2 linked regions of the Arabidopsis thaliana genome follow. The protein of the gene in region 1 interacts with the protein of each later gene in a pairwise test. Each region holds a gene or a part of one and is shown on either strand. Other genes may lie near its edges. The genes, in order: AT1G52695 and AT1G23100.

Region 1 (7,741 bases):
AAAGTTTAAAATTAGATAAGAAATATTATATTGTACCAACTACATTTAAACAAAACTAATTAATCATCCAAAGATACAAGTTATAAAACCTTTAATAACAATTTTGATGAAGTGTCAATTATCCTATAGAGGGGGGGGGGGGGGGGGGGGGGGGTTCCCCCTTCGAGTATGATCTATAGATTATTAGATTATGTTACACCCAAATCTGTTTTCTGTTGTTGTGGTTGCGCTTTTCATTTTGTAAGCCAATTAGACAATTACTAAATCAACAAAATATTAGTAATTTTAAAAAATAGATTATGCCTCCATTAATTAAATTGTATTTCACCCAATTAGTATATGATTTTTGCCATCCACCCAACTTTTTAAGGATGAGATTTTGTCAACTTTTAATACTAAGATATTTTATGTCATAAGGCTCCTTTGGTGCTTTAACAAAAAAGAAAGAAAGGAAACACTCATTTCTATTATAAATACACAATACCTTCCCTTGCTTTCTCTTATATCTTTCATCTCTAGTGCAAGTTAAAAACTAGTTCTTCTCACCAAAGCATGGCTTCTAGTATGATTTATTTTCCTTGGTGTAATTGTTTATGTTTCTTCCATAGTTATCTAAGTGTTTGACAATTCTGTAATATGGTTTATGTGTGGAACTCATTAGTGAATTTGCGTATAAATAACTCTTTAAACAGGTAGTAGGAACCAAAGTGGCAGAAAAGTTGGAGAAACTATTTATTACTCTATTCCGCCCACAGGAGTTCATAAAGCCACAATAGTCTGGCTACATGATGTCGGATTCACAGGCCACTGGTAACACTCTCGCGCACATAGTATATATTGTATCTGTTTATTACACACATGATTTGGACGTACTACAACTTTAACTCTTTTCTTGGGTTCTTTTTTTTTTACTAATAATTTGAATCTTGTAGTTCCGCAAATACTTAATTAACCGCTCTATGGTTTTGATCTTTTGTTTGTATATAAATTTTGTAGCGCTGCCAAGAAATGATATTGAGTTCATTTCACTAAAGTTTTATATTTACATTATTATTATTATTACTAAACAAAATGTAATTATTCTCCCTATATATATATATATATGTCTATTATATATGCAGCTCAGTTCCGGCTCTCGAAAGTTTGAGACATCCCAATGTATGGATCTGTTAACATACATGTTTCGCCATGCATGAACTTGATTTCCTTATAGCCAAAATTTAATTTTTTAATTGAAGTTTCTAATCAACATTTATGATTTGGCATAGATAAAATGGATTGTCCCGACTGCTCCTATGCGTCCCGTTACCTCCATAGGCGGGGAGGTAACCACTGCATGTAAGATTAGTTGTTGCTTAAAATTTCAATTGCCAAAAATGATTTGATGTAATAATAGGAATACGAGAACTGAAAACTACTAACATGTTATTTATAAAACCTTTATGATTAATCAGGGTGCGACATGACAAAACCTTCTGAGAACATGCTAGATGATTTTGAAAATTTAAATTATACAAACTCATTTATTACGAGCCTTTTCTCTTCTGAACCAGACCATGGTAATTTCTAAATAATCACTTCTTTTATAAATACACAATTATTTGATTAATATGTTAATTTTGGTTTTGGTAGTTATGAAAGGAGTAGGAGGAATCGGCTTGGGTGCAGCACAAGCTCTATATTATACGAGTTGTTATGCGTTTGGATGGGTTCCCATTAGCCCACAAATTGTTATAAGGATCAATGGTTGGCTTCCTGGCTGGAGGTAGCCTTTTCGAGCTCTTAGTATCACTTTTCACAAATTTTTAAAACTAATAATAATGGAAAACAAAACTCAATCTTGCAGGAGATTAGAATACAATATGTGTAACACTAATTTTGGGACTGCAAATCGTGCTGCAACATCAAATATTTTACTTATGCATGGGACTTGTATGTGAAACAAGTTAAATATAATAGTATTAGATAATAATTGCGATATCATACAAAATAATTAATTCTTTCATATCTTTTTTTGTTATAGCTGATGATGTTATTCCCTCTGCATTTGGATACAAATGTGCTGACTCCCTTCGAATGGCTGGATTTCCAACCTTGTTCAAACAATGCGGAGGGTCTAAACAACGATTACTTTACTTTGTTTTGATTTGATTACAATTTTCATAACACATATTTCTGAATCTGAGTTATACCATGTGTGCAGGGATCATGTAATGAATGAGATCCGTGTTTGGCTCGGAAACCTTGGGCTTTGAGGATATGGTTAAAACATGCATAAAGAAATCAAGAAATTGGGGAGCAAAATTATCGTACAATATATTATAAAATATTTTATTTTAGCTTTTCATTTTTATGTCTATGCTATTCATAATCAATATTTAATGTAATGTTCGTTCGAAAAAAATTATATTTATATGGTCATTTGGTTAAATAAATAAACATGATGATGCGTCGAACTGCTGAATATATATATATATATATATATGTATCATTATAACATATTATTTGAGATTGCAAATAATTACATTTCCTTTATGATGATAACATATTATTTGAGATTGCACACAATTAACATCACAATTCACAATTCTCTCTCTTTTTGGTATACGTTTTCAACATGTATATTTTTCCGTTTTTTTTTTAAATAGCTTATGTATTTCTAAACGCTTTTAAAATATATATATATATATATATATATATATATTAATAAATTCAAATGGGAGAGTTACACACATTAAAAGCTGATGAGAGAGACCTCAATTTAGTTTAAAGGATTAATTGATGACAGGTTCTTTTTCATAAAATGTATTTAAGTTTTCTCATGTGTCAAACTTATAATTATTGATATTAAATCAATTTAGGTTAATATTTCTTGAAAACAAGCAAGTGACTTGGTGGCCTTATTATATTTATATGTGTTTTAATTAATGTTTCCCCAAAAATAAATAAAAATTAACACAAAAAGACGGATTTAGATTTATTAAGATTTTTATATTATATTTTACATACTTTATTAACATTATATCTGAATTATTCAAGGTGCCATTTATTTTAGGTAACAATTTCTAATTAGATAATAAAAATTAATTTATATGAAATAGATTTAAACAAAACTAATTAGTCATTATAAAGTTATAAACTTATAAAACCTTAAAAATAATTTTGATGAGGTGTCAATTTGCCTATAGAGTTTTTTCTTTTCTTTTATTCATAGGATATATAGATGATTGAATTATGTTCCACCTATATATGTTTTAGCTTTTTGCGCTTTTGATTTTGTAAACCAATTAAACATGCAAATACTAAATAAACAAAATATATTATTAAATGTTTTAACTAAATTATGCTTCCAATGAAACTTTTTTATGAAGATTAGTTCTAACTAAATTGTGTTCCACCAAATTTAGTATAGGATTTCTGCCATCTATCCAACTTTTTTAAAGGTGTGATTTTGTCAAATTTTAATACTTAGAGATCTTTTCTGTCATAAAGCTCCTTTGTTTTACAGAAAAAAAGAAGAAGGAAATACTCATTTCTTTTATAAATACGCAATGTCTTGGGTTTCCTTCTCTTCTATCTTTCATCTCTAGTGCAAGTTAAAACCTTCCGAAATAATAATATAAAAAAAAAAAATATTCTCATTAGAGCATGGCTTCTGGTTTGGTTTTTTTCCTCCTTGTGATTATTATCAAAATCGTTTGATAATATTCTCTCAAATATATACTCTCTATGTGTGTGGAACGTAACTCATTAGTGAATTTACGGATAATTACTGTATATGCAGGTAGCATAAACGTAAGTGGCTTGGAATTTGGACAGATTAATACTGTTTACCCCACAGGAATTCATAAAGCTACTATAGTCTGGCTACATGACGTAGGAAACACAGGCTTCAAGTAACATTCTCACATGCTATATTGTTTATCGTTATATATGCTCTTTTGTTTTGAACAATCAAAGATTCTCATTAAAATTAGAAATATGATTTGGAAGTACTTCAACTTTTAAGTTTTTTGTTATTAAACATAAAAATAGATATATACGTACTTTTAAAGTCTTTTAATATGTGAAAAGTTGATTTTTGCCATGATATGCAAATACTAATTTTGTCAGTTCAACATTTTTTTGGATGAACATTTCTTTGTATATATAAAGGTTATGGCGCTGCAAAGAATAATGATTTTTCTCTATTATTTTACATTCCTCTGAACTTTTATTTTCTTGTAAGATATTGAGTTCATTTCACTAAAATTTTACAATATATACATTTTTTTTTTTTTTTTGTATTCGCAATAGACTTCCCATTATATGTATTTTTAACTGTCTATTATGACTGCAGCTCACTTGAGCCTCTGCAAAATTTGCGTCTTCCCAATGTACGCATCCACTAACATACGTATCTTTAATGAACTTAATTTCTTTATAGCCAAAATGAAAACTTAGCTGAAGTTTCTAATCAACACTTATGATTTGGTGTAGATAAAATGGATTTGTCCGACTGCTCCTAGACGTCGTGTTACTTCCTTGGGTGGAGAGATAACCAATGCATGTAAGATTAGCTAGATTAAAAATTTGGAGACATTAAATCATTGAAAATTAATAAGTATTTGATATCTCTAAAATAGTACCAGAATTAGAAAACTAATACTTGACTTCATAAACCTCTATGATGAATCAGGGTGCGACATCGCAAAAGTTTCTGAGAACATGCAAGATGATTTTGGAACTTTAAATTATGTAAATGAATATATTACTAGCCTTTTCTCTAATGAACCACAAAATGGTAATCCTGAAAATATCTACACTTTTTTTTTGGTGATCAAATATATCTACAATTAACATGCATAGTTTATACTATCTACATCAATTATAAATATACACATATATGATTAATTAAGTAATCTGTTAATGTTGGTTTTGGTAGTCATAAAAGGAGTGGCAGGTCTCGGCTTGGGTGCAGCACAAGCTCTTTATTATACGAGTTGTTATGCCTTTGGATGGGTTCCCATAAACCCACAAATTGTTATAGGGATCAATGGTTGGCTTCCTGGCTGGAGGTAGGATCTTGAAGCTCTTATATCACTAGTCACAAAATTTTAAAACTTATATTACATGTACCTTTAAATAATGGAAAATCAAACTCAATTTTGCAGGAGATTAGAATACAATATGAATAATACTAATTTTGGGACCGCAAATCGTGCTGCAGCATCAAAAATCTTAATTCTGCATGGAACGTGTATGTGCAAGAATATATATTATCATCTATATATCTAATTTGTTATCTAGATATATAAGAATCACGAGATCATATATGCTAAAATTTTGTTTTTGTTTTTGCAATAAAGATCCTTGCTAATTAATTATTGAATTTTTTTGTGTCACAGCTGATGATGTAGTTCCCTCTTCATTCGGATACAGATGTGCTGACTCCCTTCGCATGGCTGGATTTCCAACCTTGTTCAAACAATGTGGAGGGTCTAAACATCGATTACTTCACTCTTTTTTTTTTTTTTTTGATTACTATTTTCTTAACATACATCACTGAATTTGAGTTATATACCATGTGTGCAGGGATCATGTAATTAATGAGATCCGTGTCTGGCTCACAAACCTTGGGCTTTGAGGATATGGTTAATTTCTGCATAAAGAAAACAAATGGGGAGCAAAACTATTATCGTACAATATAATAAAGTGTTTAGTTTTGAGCTTTCGTTTTTTGTCTTTGTTATTCATAATCAATAGTTAATGTATTATTCTTCGTTCGAAACCGTTAAAAAGGTGAATTATATTTCTCCATTATATATCTTAGTAAAACAATTTCCTTATCTGACCAGCAAATTCTCAAGGAATCAAAATTGCTTCGGAAATCCTAATACTGGTATGCATAAATCAAATTAACTTTCAAACAAAACTTTGTGAAATTTCCTGAAGTAACAGTATTGAAAACCGTTACCCCCATACGAACGTTACAGAGAAAACTATTTTTTAAAGAAATGATTGAATAAATAATTGAGAAGTAACAGGAATATGTTTTAGTCAAGTGAATAGTGATTAAATTTGACTCCGTCTTCCAGAGTTTGACTCTGTTAAAACGTAATAGAGATGGACTAATAAATTAGGTCGAAAGATGTAAAATAAAATAAAAATAAAAAAAAGTAACGAAAACAAGTGCATGTTGCGAAAATTTATGATGTAAATGTCTTCGTATTAGGCAAAGTTTAAAACGAAAACTTTATAAAATACCAATTATGTAATTTCCGTACTAATCACCCGAAATAACTAGTGTCCAATTTATAAAAGAAAACCATTACATGATAATACGTAGAAGTACATTCAAACCCAATAAACAACAACAAGGATCGGCATAACCTCACGAACGCAACAAACACTAATCAAAGCAAACAAACATGAAAACCACGAACACGAAACAAATATTTATCCTCTTCACTTCCTCTGTGTCTCACGAGTAGTGGTCGTAGTAGTAGTACTTGGAGCTGAAGAAACATGTTCTTTGTTTCCTTCATCAGTGCGAAGCCCTAAAGTGTGCTTCACCGCATCAGTAGCTCCCATAGCCATCTGTTTCACCTGCTCACCGGTCTGGCCCAAGATCCCACTGGTCTTCTCCTTACCTGCTTCTGCAGTCTCTTTGGTATATTCAGCTGCATCGTGTGCCTTGTTCTTGATTGCTTCTCCAGTTTCCGACATGTAGCTTCCTGTCTTGTCTTTGGACTCTTGAGCTCTCTCTTGAGTCGTTTGTGCAGCTTGAGACGTCTTGTCTTTAGCTGACTGAGCTGTTTCATGAGCCTTTTGTTGGGCTGACTGGGCTGTCTCTTGAGTTTTGTCCTTAGCTGCTTGTGTTTTGTCCCCCATCGTTCCCATAGCTTCCCCAGTTTTCTCCTACAGTTCAAGATTGGATTTACATTATAAAAAATACTAATCAGCTTTTTTTTTTTTTTTCTAAAATCAAATAACACGAAACATCACAAAATTGAAAATAATAACTTTCAAACTCATTTTTGTTTTTTCACATACAAACAATAGTTACTTTTTAGGTTTTGTTTAAGTTTCTAAAATTAAATCATTTAATGCTGCTATCCAAAATGTATTATAGTTATGCATATAAATCGTTTAGTACCTGAGCCTTGCCTCTGGTTTCACCAGCTTTGTAACTCTGTTCTTGATGAGACGCCATTTTCACTCTTCGAAGAAATTCGAAACCAAATTTTTCTAAATGATAAAAGCTTTTTTTTTTAGATCTTGTGTTTTTTGTGTGTTTGGAACTGTGAGTTGTCTCCGACTCGTTAGTCAGAGTTATTTATAGCAAGTCTTGGTCGGCGAGAGAACAAGATAGGTGTTGCAGTTTCGCGACAGGTGTGTAGGTACGTGCCCCGATTAGGTTGATGTGACGAAGTTTCGAAACTTGGAGTTATGTGCGAGTGTTAAAGTTAGGTTTCTCGTTTTCATGATGACCTATATCTATGTGACACGTCATGGTAAAAACGGAGCTACGGAAGATGTTAGACACGTGGTGACTCACGTTATCTTGATATTGGATATTCATCTACTCAAGGCATATATTATGCAACCGCCATTACTGCATAGATATTTACTTTTTTCTAAAAAGAACCAATACACAATTCTTACATGGATTCGAAGTAATTTTAATATAGCTATAAATTCTTGAAAATCGATCGGATGAGTTTTTATTGTATTCGTTATTGATATATTACTGATAATA
Region 2 (6,158 bases), about 11 Mb from region 1:
ATAGCTATGTGTGTTTGCTTCTTCTTAGCTTTTCCGTTGAATTTTATCGAAACGCTATATGCTTTGTGGCCCTTATTCACATAAAATTCATACGAAATGGAAAAGAGAAAAAGCAGATACAATTCTGGTCATTGATAATTCAGCATATCATGCAGCAATCAAATTTTAGGTGTTGACTTGTAACCAATATTTCTCTCTGGAAAACACATGTATGACCAATTATTATGGTTTAATTTATGAATACATTTTTATTTTTGTCATCAGAACAGAACAAGGGAGACAACAAAGTAGTTTGATTATTCTGGTGGCGTATAGATAAATGTTGGTTGTCTGTGGTTTAGCAAGATTACCATGAGTCTGCAAAATGTATCAAAGTCGAGCAATGCCCTTGAGGGTATCCACGGGGTTCATGTCACGTCTCATTCTCCTTTCTCATTTGAGAAGACAACTCAAGTTAGTGACTTTCAGACCAACACCAAATCCTCTGTCATGGAATCAAATCAAAGACTTTCCATCGAGTATGTTACATAACATTAGGTTGTGACATTCTCAGCTTTTGAAACGGTTTCAGTTACTGATTTAGTTTCTCTGTTACAGACGTTTTTGGCAGCAAAGACCTCCATGCTTAAGGCCAATCTGTTGCAGCATTCGCGGTACGCTTCTTGTTTTCGATCTTTTATCTTTCCAATCTCAAGATGGTTGATCGGTCTTTTTATTATGCAATCGAAACATATGACAGGTGACCAGAGTGTCTTAGAAACAGCTGCTAATGTGGCTACTTCACTTCCTTTCATCTTCCTCGGAATGCAGGCACCAAGGTAAAATGTTCTCTTTGCAAATATCATTTCAAGTAGAGTTTCTCTGACAAGATACTATCCCATGTAGGAAGAATCTGAACACAAAGGTGTACGCAAACTCCCTAATTGGAGTTGGAATTGCGTCGAGTCTGTATCATGCCTCTAGGGGAAAGTTGAGGAAGTACCTGAGATGGGTAGATTACACAATGATAGCCACAACAACAATAGTAAGTTCCACTCTTCTTAACCCATCTCCAAATTCTTCTTTAACCAAATATAACCGATTAAATCTGGTTATGTGGACAGTGTCTCTCAAGGGCTCTAAGGAATGAGAACCCAAAATTTCTGATGGCTGCATCAGCTTTAGTTCTACCTTTTCAACCTCTCATGGTCTCTGCCGTTCACACTGGAATGATGGAGGTCGCATTTGCTAAAAGAAGCTTAAAGGATCCAGATCTCAAAACAGCTCATAACGTACACAAGATGTCTTCCTTGCTAGGAGGTGCTCTGTTCATAGCTGATGATTTCTTCCCCGAGACACCTTTCCTTCACGCAGGCTGGCACCTCGCTGCAGCCATTGGAGTTGGAACATGCAATAAACTTCTTGAGTAGATCATTTCCAAAATTGCTATTCTTAGAACAGTGAAACAAATGGTTTCTCTGTTTCTCCTAATCAGTCGACATTACTAAGAAGCATTTCTAGACTTATAGTCAGTAATCTCTATGTAAGAAGTAGATCATCATCATTCCCAAACAAAAGAGATTATTGAATTATAAGAACTTGTTGCCAACAGTGAAGAACAATCATAACAATTGATCCAAATGTCAGACAATTGCAGACAACAAAACAAAGAGGAATCATAAATTCTATCTCTTTAACACATCACTCGTGAAGTGTAGCCATGATATCTTCATCCCTATACAATAGGAACCTGCAAAGAGAACGAAACACACAGTGAGAAATCGAAAATACTGATAAATTTCACTCTTAGAGGAATTACATCGAACAGGTTAAGAACATACTCTTTCTCTCCAAGCTTAACTTGAGTACCGCCAAATTCAGGCAAAAGAACATTGTCTCCTTCCTTAACCGAAACCGGAATTAGATTCCCTGCTCTGTCTCTAGCTCCAGGACCAACTGCTATAACTCTCCCGGAATTCAACTGTGTTTAATCAAATCCAACAAATTTCTAGTTCGTCCAATCGAAGAAATGGGTAAAGATGAGAATTTTAAAGAAATTCGTTTACCTGAGATGATTTCTCCGGTAGGAGAATGCCGGAGACGGTCTTTGACGGTGGGAGAATCTTCTCCACCAATACACGGTTGAGAGTCGGGATCAAACGCTTCGCCATTTTTATCTGATTCGACGACGACGACGGAGATCGGATTACGAAAATGTTGCTCTGCTTAATTTCGCTAAGATTTAGGGTCTAGGGTTTAAGCACAACAGGTGTTCCGGGTTTTTAGGTTATTAAGGTTACTTGGACTTTACGTGGCCCAGGCCCATTCAGTATTTCTAAAATTATTGAGTCAATCCCTTTTTATTTGACTCGTTTCATGTTAATAAAAAGTAGGGTATATGCATTAATTAATTCAACATTTTTCATTAATTAGGTCAATGGTATTGACATGCATTAAAGTTTTACTCGTGATGTAGACAAATAACATTTCTCGTTCAGTAATTTATGTACAATGTGTTTGTGAAACCGTTCGATAAAACGTTATTTTACTAAACATCACGTCATATCATAAAACCACTTCATTTTTTTATAATCTTCCATTTTTGTTCTTTTTATAAGAAAAACGGAGACACTACGAATAGATAACAAAAATCGAAATTTACGAAAATGATCATATTACAAAAGAAAGCCACAAAACAAAATATAATCAATGGTAGGAACATGCCTTGGCGGAAGAAGACATAGGTTTGAGCTCCCAAACGTGAAAATATTAAGTCGGAGATACAAAAAGCTTATTTTGTGGAACTTGCTTGACTAGCAAAATATAACTGTTTTTGTATCTCCATACTGAACTACAAAGAGTCAAGCTTATTCGATTGCCAATTGAAGCTCCCAAACGTGAAAGTGTAAATCATTGTTGCCATTAGTGACGCAATCCGAGATCAGCTCTCAACATCTAAAATTTATTTAAATATGGATAATAGTTTGCTCAGCCGGTAAAAATATTTCATGAGTTTTGCGTTTGGGTTTACAGTTAAAAAAAAAATACTTCGAATACTCAATGTTGTGGTTGCGGGTTCGTTTCAAAAAATAGACATTGAATACAAATATAAAACTAGATGTCGTCAACATTCAGCAGACCATTGATGTCTAAATCGATGGAAAAGTTTGTGGAAAAATAATGCACGTATGCAAAACATTTTAGACCACATAGGTTTGAGCTAACAATTTTGAATAGAACAATTACTTTATTACATAGTGATATCTCTAGGTCAGCTCTAAATTAAATGAATTGACAACCAATTGGAAAATAATGATTCAAAAATATTGAAACGAAAAAATCCAAACCGTGTTAAACTTATCCAAAAGTACATTCAACTTTATATCCATCTTGAAATTTCAAAACTAAAGAGCTTAAACGAAAAATTGTATTGAATGTCCCTACCTCTAACTATTCTTTCTCTTTTGGGGTCAAAACCTCTAACTATTCTTGTTTTTTTGTTTTGATAAGAAACCTCTAACTATTCAAAAGAAAAATTCTGACACTTGGAGGTCCCTAAAGTGGGCAAAGATGATAACAAAGCAACACGCGATCAAAAGCTCAATGTGTCTTTTAGGAGGTCCCTAAAGTATAATAAGTATGGGTTTTAGATCTCGTGACAATGATGAAGAAATGGATAGGCACTATAGCATAAATATTCACCTTAATTATCATCCAAGCAAGAGTCTAAAAGAAAAAAGGGGATCTTGACACTAACATCGTATCGAATCTCACCATAAATTCAAAGAGAACATTACAAGCCTTGCATCGTGCACCGACCTTTTTACTTTGGAAGATTAGGAGGAGATCATTCACGAAGCCTAATAGGACAAGAGCCAAGTTTTAATCATTGGTGGGTTTGAAGTTCTTTCTTGAGGTGCCACGCTAGTATATAAGTCTATGTCATGTTTCACTTAAGACCATTTGAGTTCGTGCTTATTTGTTATGATTGTGGGTAGATTGGTTTGACGATTTAGGTTGTATATGTACAGTTTATATGTAGTAGAAGATATGAAAAGAAAAATACAGCATCTAAATTCTTAAGTATAATGTTCTATAGTAGAAGTCAACAACAGAAAAAAAGAAAGAAAAAAAGTGTTAGGACTTGATCACATTTTGGATGAAACCCACGTACAGCTCTTTTCGGTCACAGTTACGTATATTTTCATGAAGATAAGAACGTGATGCTAACAAACAAAAACCAAAATTGCATCAACACATCACGATAATGCAAAAACCAAAAAAACATATCAAAGACAAATCCGTATAAGTGGTTTGATGTACTATCAAGTTGGTTCCGAATAGGGGTTGAAAGAAGGTTGAAATAATAAAATCGGAGGACCGTTCTTGTCAGTCGTCACTATCTCAAGTCGCATTATTATTTTTAGGGACCTATATATTTTACTATTGGACAATTGGGTCACACCGGTCAGATTGTATGGTTGCAACTTGCAAGGAAATGGATATTGACCTCTTCCTTTTTTCACACTTATTTGAATATTTGCTAATCAGCGTTAATTCAGACTTAAGATAACACATTGTCTCATTCGACATTTGCCGCCTTTGTCCCACCTTCTCATTTTCCTTCAAAATTTAATTCAACATTTTGATTATCTTCTTACATGTGCTAATATGCCAAGCAAATTATCAAATATCTATCACCTTTAGCTCAAAAGTTATCAAAAAAAGCATTGGCTATATGCCTATACAAATATATATAAACCCAGTTGAATCATTCAAAAATGGCCATTCCATCATAATTAGCCTTCTTTCTTCTTCTTATATAATTAAGAAGATTGAGTTTGACTGGTTGTGAAACTCTATCCATTTATTTAGTTTATTACTAAACATTAATTTACCATCTTGTCTATATATTATTCTAATTTATTTTCATTAATAATTGCTATTACTAATTTATTATGTTGAATGCATAATTTTGTAAAATGATGTATATATATATATATATATATATATATATTCTGCTAATTAGATTCTAAGCTACACTTTGTTAGTTTGACAATTAAAAACAAAGAGGTTAAAAATTTGTTTTTGTCATTATATGTTATATGGTCTACGACTCTACAAGCTAGCAATGCAGTACGGTTAATAGGGTGGTTTTTACGTCGTCTTTTAGTGTGGTCATTCAACAAATATTTATTGGGTCCAGTCAAGGTAAAACAACGTGAATAAGTTTCATTTTCTACTTCTCGTTTTCTCAACGCAAGAAATTTCAGGCTCTTTATGTGCCTAATTTTTGTGTGCATTCCTAAATCACCATGTGAAACCCTAAGTTTAGAGTTTTGAATAGATATACATCCTTTTCTAAATTAGTGTTATTTAAAAAAATTAAGGTAATTTGTGACCACTATAAAATATCTTTATTGATTGCACTATACAAGATGATCTCCTTATTTCTCTATATATTATTAAATTCGAATACTATAGATTCCTAAAAAAGTCGATGACTTGTCTAGTGGAAAGCCAAGAGATTCATGTGTCATGTCATGTCTGAAACATGGGTTGTTAAATGCAATTTTTTTTATTCATTACATACATGAACATTTTATGTATCTTTGAGCTAATATTTATATCATTAACACTAATTTAATTATGGTTTAATTCGCAGCTTATAAAAATATGAAAAACCTCTAATTTCTTATACCTAATTTTTAGAATCAAACCTATAATATATCAAGAAAATTTAAACTCAAAAATGTGGATAGATGGGTCAACAAAATAGAGCCACGCGAATACATTAACAAGTGCGCAATGTGCATACATTCCAAAAGAGTTGGGTATCAGATCCTTTTTCTATGAATAACTCCATTCATGTCCCGTTACTTTTCCCTTTTGTTTCTTTCTTATGATATTCTTTTTCAATATTTTAATTCGATTTGGCCTACCAGTATCCATACCATTTATAATATTCATTTACTTGTATTATTTGACTTCGTGTTCACTGCCCTCCCATGTGACGTGGTTCACGTTTTCATAGATCATTCTCATTTTTCAGTTATTCTCTCTTTCACACAATGATTTGTTTCGCACCCAACCAAGACAACGTTATAAGAACTTAAGAAGAGCAAACCATAAGCATACTTAGTTAAGGTTTTTAACGAGGACAAGGAAACGAGGAAATT

The links.
Region 2: the proteins of AT1G52695 (region 1) and AT1G23100 interact in a two-hybrid assay, tested with the Arabidopsis thaliana proteins (one large-scale study listed by BioGRID).

Annotation. Positions count from the first base shown.
Region 1 is NC_003070.9:19,619,296-19,627,036, reverse strand, and holds AT1G52695 (alpha/beta-Hydrolases superfamily protein), read left to right. Parts: upstream 1-3,575; 5' UTR 3,576-3,648; coding exon 3,649-3,658; intron 3,659-3,784; coding exon 3,785-3,896; intron 3,897-4,339; coding exon 4,340-4,376; intron 4,377-4,479; coding exon 4,480-4,549; intron 4,550-4,678; coding exon 4,679-4,783; intron 4,784-4,924; coding exon 4,925-5,057; intron 5,058-5,153; coding exon 5,154-5,239; intron 5,240-5,387; coding exon 5,388-5,478; intron 5,479-5,502; exon of another isoform or gene 5,503-5,523; intron 5,524-5,574; coding exon 5,575-5,626; 3' UTR 5,627-5,799; downstream 5,800-7,741. Other genes in the region: LEA7 (Late embryogenesis abundant protein (LEA) family protein), read right to left, coding at 6,448-6,900, 7,139-7,195.
Region 2 is NC_003070.9:8,191,859-8,198,016, reverse strand, and holds AT1G23100 (GroES-like family protein), read right to left. Parts: upstream 2,242-6,158; 5' UTR 2,151-2,241; coding exon 2,046-2,150; intron 1,961-2,045; coding exon 1,821-1,960; intron 1,730-1,820; coding exon 1,681-1,729; 3' UTR 1,542-1,680; downstream 1-1,541. Other genes in the region: AT1G23110 (fold protein), read left to right, coding at 352-518, 598-653, 740-818, 886-1,024, 1,104-1,409.